2 linked regions of the Notamacropus eugenii genome follow. The protein of the gene in region 1 binds, or shares a complex with, the protein of each later gene. Links are inferred from orthologs where the notes say so. Each region holds a gene or a part of one and is shown in the gene's direction. Other genes may lie near its edges. The genes, in order: PTH2R and PTH2.

Region 1 (3,909 bases):
GTGTGTGTGTGTGTGTGTGTGTATTAGATTATATATTTTGCTTAAAGATGTTGTTATGAATGTTATGCTTTACTTTATTGAACAATCTTTAGTCTATTGCTGATTAAATTAACTACGTGATTAGACACTTAAAAATCATTCACAGCGGCAGTCCTCAGGTGTGCATGATCAGCTTTACAAATCCAAAGAGGATTAGTTTGTTTTTTTTTTATCTTGGCTTTCCCTCCCTGATTTTGAATGACTTGAATGTTGTAGCTGTGACATCTTTATGAATTTAACTGAGAAGGATTCTGAGGCTCCATGCCATCACCATAATGCTATCTATTAATAGGAGCATTTTGGGAATCTTGCCTAGATCCAGCAGGATATCATTCATGATAATAATTAATATAAGTGAACATGTAGTTATGCATCAGGATCAACTGCTTTATATTGCCTTATGATGGGTAAGGGCACTGATGGATCCCTGATCACCTTTGCTATATGTTAGTTTAGTCAATTTTTAAAAGTTCTTATGTTCCTTGGAGGGTTCACATTCACTCATTCTTCCTCTGTCCATCTCTGTTGGCCAACCAGGTAAGTGAAATTGACATGAGCACATCTGGAGCATTAGGAATATTATACATTAAATAACTGTCCTCAAGTTTAGGAGTGTGGGAGGAAGAGCATGATAATGAAATGAAAGGCTGTAAAAGTTTTTGGTATTGTTGATTATAATGAAATCTATTTCCCAAGCTATTGCTAAGTTATTGCATAAAAGAAAAGAGCAGATGATTGGCAGTACTTCATTGTTAAGAGAATATTGAACTTAATTTAGATACTGCAGCAGCAAATTAACTTTTATAAATTTAATTTAACTTAATCTAGGCAGTTAGGTACTCTAAAAAACAAATATTTTTGTACCTCTGAATCAAATTCAAGTTTTATTTATAGAAGTAATGGCAAGACAGACATATTTTGAAGGAAAAAAAAAAGACTTGTTCTTGATAGTATCAAGGCCACGCCAATTCAGTTCAACAAACAGTTACTAAGCTTTAGGATAAAAATAATTAAGAAACTCATTGGACCCAGGAAGATTAAGAAAAAAAAAAGAAAAAATTAGAGTATCTCTTTAAGGAAATTAAATTTCATTGACTGGATAGTGTATATACATGAAAAGAATGCTTACGCTACAAAGAACACACACTGTTTTGTTTTGTTTTTCCCCTGGTCAGAGCTAGAGCAGGGCAGCAGTCAAAAACCTAATGAACTATGAAACTTTAAAACCAAACCTCCTTAATCACACATTTTCCATTTGACAACTTGTCAGGATTCTCTGCAGCCTGGTTAACAGGACCAGTTAGTGATTTGATGAGACATCTAGTGTTGTAGCTGGCAGCTAGTAACTAGGTATATCTGTTTGCTCCAGCTCCAGGGGATGAGCAGAGCCAAGCATTTTCCCGCAAAATTAGTATTGCAGACAGTGTAAGCTACTAGGATGTCGATTTTTTTTTTCTTTTTAACTCAGCCGCCAGTCTCTGACATGTATACAGTTATCTTGGCTCACCTTCTGATTTGTGGTTCTTAGAAAAGAGAATCTGCTTTCTTGACAATAGAACGGCTTTGATCTCCAGAAAGTGAATCTTTTTATTTATGCTGCTCGTCCCTGCGTAAGGAGACTTCTCCACTAAAGCATCGTGGGGTTGCAATCTGCTTCACTGGAGGGATGAATACGCATATCAGTGAAACTGAGGACATTTAAGCAGCAAAGGCAAAGGTGAAAAGGGTTCAGAGGACTTTACTATTGTAACGAAAGAGCTGAGAGAGTCTCAGTTTTTAAGCTCTGAGAGTTTCAATTTTTAATCCCATCTGCGCTACAACCTCCAGCGACAAATCAGGTTGTGCGGTCATTCAGCGAACTTTTCGGACCAATCACTGAGAAGGCAAGGTGGTATTGGTAAAAGCAGAGCTGATACCCTGGTGTGGACCCACTCAGTTCGCTGGCTCCATCCTGTCTGATCTGCTGCCTGAGGTGCTAAGAGAACTCAAGGAGGGCAAAGGTACTTACAAACACGTGCGGAGCTGCCTGGCACCAAGTGCCCGCTGGCGATCCACAGGGCGCTGCGACAACTTTCCACTCTGCCCCTTTTTCCACCCACCCACTCACCCCTTCTTCTCATGGTTGCTCCCTTTTCCAGACTGCTGCAAAAGCAGAGCCTGAGGCTGTTTGCTTGTTTGTAAACCTGGAGTAGGAAATTTTCCAGAAGATGAGAGACCAAGCAAGTAGCGGCTGACTCTGTTGGAGACAACGTGGTCCTAAGGAGTGCATGGCAGCTAGAGAGCCCAGACAGCCCGGGTAGCGGAGTGCCTCAGCCCACAGTCTAAGCAAACTTGGGCACCAGCTGCTTTGCCTCTCGTGACAAGAAGACTGGCTGAATTCCCTGCGGGGAACCACTAGCTTGACGAGAGGGGAGAAAGTTATCAGCACCTTGGACTGTGAAGTGGGTACCGCCCGCCGCCCCCAACCTCCTGGCTGAGCTCTCCTCTTCTAGCTATTAGCCATGGTCAAGGCTGGGGGACTGCCCTTCATCTGGAGCTGGGTGGCTCTCAGCAGCTGTCTCTTGACCAAAGCACAGGTAAGGGGGGAACGCCTGCCCAGGTAAGGAGGGAACGCCTGCCCAGGGAATCCCATCCTTCCAAAGAACTGCAGACAGGTGAGATGAAGGCACGGGGCAATGCTAGGGGGTTATCATCCCTCAGTCTCATAGGTGGTCGGGAAGCCTGGACTTGGAAACATTTGACAGACTAATATGGAATTGTAAACTGGTCAAGCGTTGTGCAAATACTTGTGTATTGTACACTGACTGGACAATAATGAAGGGGTGGAGTGGAGAATAGATAAAGTTAATACTTCTCTACTTAAGCAACTCCAGTACCAGAGACAAACTGTTCTGTGTAGTAGCGATTCAACCAGACCTGAGGTCACTTCAAGTTTAGGAAAGAGTGTAATTTTTTAAAATCTTAATTTTCTTCTCTATTTTAAATAGGAAATCTCTTAAAACGAGGGAGAGTGGCTAGGAAACATTGCATTGATGTTATGTTTAATTCAGGACTTTTGCAATAGTCTAGACGAGTCAGAGCTCAAAGGTCAGTTTAGGGAATTTCTTTGTTATTACCTGGTATAACCAAGCAGCTGTCTTGTATAAGACAGCTGCATTGTAAGATTATCTTCCCAAGACAAAATGCCAGGTTTAAACTCAGAGCTTTGAGACTTTTGTGCGAGTCAGTGCTATGAAGTGGGAAACAGAGTAATTGCAAATCAATCCTCCTTTATTTGCCATTTCACTCTTCAAACCGTAGAGGGCGCGCCTTTACTTTCCTATACGGTATCTTCACTCACTTTTTCTATTTGGGGAAAGCAATTCCTAATTTTTGATGTGTATCTTTGTCAGTGCCAAATAGCCACGCTTGATGACATTATGTTCTCTAATCTCAGATGACAGATTTCAAAAGCTCAATAATTCTAGAAGGGCAATTATGGTCCATTAAAGTAGCTGTCATGTTTATAATCTAATAATTTAGGAACTGAAGGAGGATTTCTGAAAAAGAGAGAGAAAACTATAAAAGGCATCAACACTATGTCTTAAGCCTTTAATGCCTTAAATAAAAATCACACCAGTTTCCTCTCAGATACCTGTTTTATAAGAGAGGTGAGAAATTTTAAATGGAGAGAAAACTTAGAATTTATTTAGGCTCAACTATACCTTCAAGTTAGTGAGACTTTGAGAGGAAAGTTCATCTGCAAAGTAGAATGGGCAAGAAACTCTGGTTTTGAAAACTGTTGAAAATTATATTTTTTCCTAATGTGACCCTCATTCATTCCTTTGTAATATTACTTCCCCTGTAGGACTCATTTGCTTCTTTATCAGG
Region 2 (3,588 bases), on another chromosome or scaffold:
GCAGGGAACTGGTGGTCAACTGCCCTCCCTCATTGCCCCCATACCCCGAGGGACACCACCGGCTTTCACTTGTTTACAATCCAAGTTGCTCGGAGACCCGCTATGGAAGAAGATGCGAGGTCCCCTAGAGGCGGAGGTTGGGGGGAGGGGAAGCCTGTGCACCAGAAAGCGAGGGGGAGTGGGGCGTCAAACTCCTGCCTGGGGTGGGGGTGGAGTGACCTGGACTGGGAACAGGGTGCAAAGAGTAGCGTTTGGAATTCCGGGAGCTGGGTTTCAAATGCTGGCTCGGCCACATCTTTTCTTCCTGTGTGACCTTGGTCATTTCAGCCTCTCTGAGGGTCAGTTTCCTCATCAATAAAATCTATTGGTAGTGGCATCTAAGATCCCTTAGGGATCTTTCTATGATCCCATGATCCCTTCACGAGGAGAGGACAACGGTCTGTACTACTGGGTACTTGATTTGGGAAGCTCCTGGGCACCGGAGGGGTTCTGAGGCGGAACCTGAGCCACTCGGACACCTGTTACTTGGTGGGGATCCCTTATGAGAAGGAGGTGGGGGAGAGGCGAGCCAGGATCAGTGCGTTATCTGGGTGGGAAGTGGACTGCGTTGGAGTGAGGTGGGAGGAAACAGAGCTCCTGGGTTCCTGATTGGGGCGGCCTCGAGTGTTTGGGTGCAGGGTCCTTACCTGAGGGTCAGGGCCTTAGCAGCAGCAGCAGCAGCAGCAGCAGCAGCAGCAGCAGCAGCAGCAGCAGCAGCAGCAGGTGGTGTAGAAAACTGAACTCGGGCAGGTGAGCTGCGGAGACAAGGATGCAGGCGGGGCCTTGGGGAGGGGGTGAGGCACCTCACTGTCCTTCCCTTGAGAACCCGGGTGCCAGGCGACTGGGCCTGCTCTTAAAGGGACAGAGCTCGGAAGGGGGCGGGCAAGGCTCCCTGGATGGTGTTCAGCCCCACGCTGGGGTCCCAGGCATTCTTTTCTGGGGAATCCAGGTGTTATTCCCTCTTCCCATTTCTAAGCCTTACTCTTGGGACCCTATAGAGCCCAGTGAGTCAACTTGACAGTCACATCTCTACAGGGTGCCTCGACTCACTTAGGCCCTGAGTTGTGTCGTGGAGTGGGTGTTTACAAAGGTCAGGGAGAAGAAGCTTCCTGTTCCACCCTCCCTACCACTGTTCCCAAACCGACTGTGTCCTTGATGTGGCTCCCGCTGTAGACCTGTCCGTACTGTTGTTACCGGACCCTTCCGTTGGACCATCTGTCCCCGTCCCTCCCTCAATTTCTTTGTCTAGCCGTGTCTAGCCCAAGCTCTCTTCCTCTTCCTAGTGGTTCCTCTGTCTGTATCTCCATGTGGCTCCCTCTCTGATGGTCTGAACGTCGAATCCGCCTTTCATGACGAGTCTTACTTGTTTACTTATCCATGTCACCCTCTAATCATCCATTCCCCGTCTCTCTGCTGGCTACCTGTCCCCTCATTTCTTTCCCCCTTGCCATCCCCGCCTCTCCCCCACCCAGCCCTGGCCCCTCCCGGGCCCAATTAGGGCCCAACTCCGGCTTGAGTTCGTTCAGCCTCCTCCGCTCTCTGCTGCTCATTACCGGCGGCAGAGCCTAATGAGGCTGGGGGCGGCGTGACCCCGCGGCCCTGCCCGGCCCAGGCCTGCGTCAGCGAGGGCCTTTATAAGGGCTTTGGGGGTGGCGGAGATAGACTGCGCCTCGCTCGGGACAGAACAGGACCGGTACGGGCTGGACCTGCCAGGAGACTGGAGGGGGGCTGGGGAGATGGCTGGAGCCGCTGAGCAGGACTTGTGTACCCCACAGGTGATGGAGAACCCCAAGAGCCGGGGGCGCCGCCGGTGCGGGCTACTGCTGCTGCTGTTGCTGCTGCTGCTGCTGCCTGGGATCTCCGGCACCACCGGGGCTGTTTTGTCCCGCCCTGAGAGCCCCAAGTAGGTATGGGGGTGCGGACCAGAGACAATCTCCCAGGCCACACGCAGGAACCCCTGACTAGCAGAGTTACATGGGTTGAGAGACGTACAGAGACAGAGATAGAGTGAGTGACTGACAGGGAAAAGAGATACAAAGAGATAGATCCCGAGAGATAGCAATGCAGCAAAACTGAGGGAGAAGCAGAGGTGGGGGAGCTGAGAGACTCTCAGTGACAGAACCGAAGACTGCTCGAGAGAAAGCGACAGAGCGGGATTCTCTGGAGGAAACTGGAGGGACACACTGGGCTGGGACTAGGACGGGTCTGCTCAGAGAGCTGGAAAGGGATCAGGAACTAGGCTGGGGAGATAGGAGTGTGGCCACGGACTTCTCGGGCGGGGATCGGAGTGGCCGTGGTCTCGCTTCTCTGAGTCGGATCGGGATGGGGTGAGCGGGATTGGGGAGCCTGGGTGCCTCTCTCTCTCTCTCTCTCTCTCTCTCTCTCTCTCTCTCTCTCTCTCTCTCTCTCTCTCTCTCTCTCTCTCTCTCTCTCTCTCCTCCCATCCCCACCCCGCACCTTGCAGCTCCTGGCTCCCGTGGGTCCCGCCTCCCGCCTCTCTGACCCTGCGGAACTGGAGTCTTCAGCTGACCGGGGAGGACCCCGCCCGGGCCCCCGGGCCCCGCCCCCAACTCGAGACCCGCCCCCAGGACCCCGCCCCGAGCGCTGGACCCCAACGGCGCCTGGTGGTGGCTGACGACGCGGCTTTTCGGGAGCGGGCTCGCCTTCTGGCAGCCCTGGAGCGGCGCCGCTGGCTCAATTCCTACATGAACAAGCTCCTGGTGGTCAGCAATGCGGCCGCGGACTGACACTGAGCTCCCCCCAATAAAAGTTCCTCGTCTTTTTTCAGCCTCGTGTCTTTGGTGCGCCGGGGAGAGGAGCCTGGGGGGCCTACCGCAGCCCGGTGTGGGCCCGACTCCCCTCCTTTACTCAGTGGCAGCTTTGGGGCCGGCGAGCCATCCTCCCAGGGCTCGTGTCCTTTTCCTTGTCTCCCACTGCCTCCCACTTTCTGGGCCTCTTGGGCTGCCTCTATCTCTGTCTTGGCCGGCTGTTTTTCTGTTCCCTTTCTCTTCTCACTCTTCTCTGTCTCCATGCCCCATCTTATCCCTGCCTGTCTCTTGATTTCCATCGTTTTCGGTCTGTTTCTGGTTTTCTGGGCCTCTGGGTCTGAGCCTTCCAGGGCCCGTTTTTCTCTTATCCTTCCTATCCACCGCCCCCCGACCCCCAGCCCGCCCCCAACCCAGGCTGGAAAGCCTACAGAGATGCAGTGCATGCAGGAGGGTGGAAAGAAGAGGAAGGAAGAAAGCCAGGGTACCCGGAGGGAGACGAGATTGAGAAATTGGGCATCACTAGCCATGAGACACCGACACGCTCCTGGTTGACCTTACTCATCCCATAAGTCCAAAAGGGGTTCAGGTGTGCGCAAACGGCTTTCTTATCGACCCAAAGAAAACTCCAGACTCGGAATGGAGGAAGCTAATTGGTTGTATTGGCACACAGACAGCCATAGAAAAATTGCCTAAACTCTTAACAAGATTCTAGGATTATTGTGGTGGAATGTCCTTAGGCAGTAGAATGGGACCTCCTCGTCTGTTTCCCCAGCTGTAGCAT

Evidence for each region.
Region 2: the proteins of PTH2R (region 1) and PTH2 are in contact, whole or in part, in a cryo-EM structure (PDB 7F16), measured with the Homo sapiens proteins. The link is inferred for Notamacropus eugenii from reciprocal best matches to the Homo sapiens genes PTH2R and PTH2. Residues at the interface, in NP_005039.1 of Homo sapiens: Thr31, Ile32, Ile34, Gln37, Ile38, Asp68, Gly69, Leu70, Ile90, Tyr91, Asp92, Phe93, Met112, Lys117, Ala120, Tyr122, Leu126, Gln130, Pro131, Ser134, Lys137, Gln138, Phe141, Glu142, Tyr152, Arg190, Ile194, Lys197, Val201, Ile205; in NP_848544.1 of Homo sapiens: Ser62, Leu63, Ala64, Leu65, Ala66, Asp67, Asp68, Ala69, Ala70, Phe71, Arg72, Glu73, Arg74, Ala75, Arg76, Leu77, Ala79, Ala80, Leu81, Glu82, Arg83, Arg84, Trp86, Leu87, Tyr90, Met91, Lys93, Leu94, Leu95.

Annotation. Positions count from the first base shown.
Region 1 is NC_092877.1:306,125,381-306,129,289, reverse strand, and holds the start of PTH2R (parathyroid hormone 2 receptor), read left to right. Parts: upstream 1-1,243; 5' UTR 1,244-2,540; coding exon 2,541-2,615; intron 2,616-3,909. UniProt on the Homo sapiens protein: This is a specific receptor for parathyroid hormone. The activity of this receptor is mediated by G proteins which activate adenylyl cyclase. PTH2R may be responsible for PTH effects in a number of physiological systems.
Region 2 is NC_092876.1:12,609,116-12,612,703, reverse strand, and holds PTH2 (tuberoinfundibular peptide of 39 residues), read left to right. Parts: upstream 1-1,047; 5' UTR 1,048-1,775; coding exon 1,776-1,942; intron 1,943-2,503; coding exon 2,504-2,786; 3' UTR 2,787-2,821; downstream 2,822-3,588. UniProt on the Homo sapiens protein: Plays a role as a potent and selective agonist of PTH2R resulting in adenyl cyclase activation and intracellular calcium levels elevation. Induces protein kinase C beta activation, recruitment of beta-arrestin and PTH2R internalization.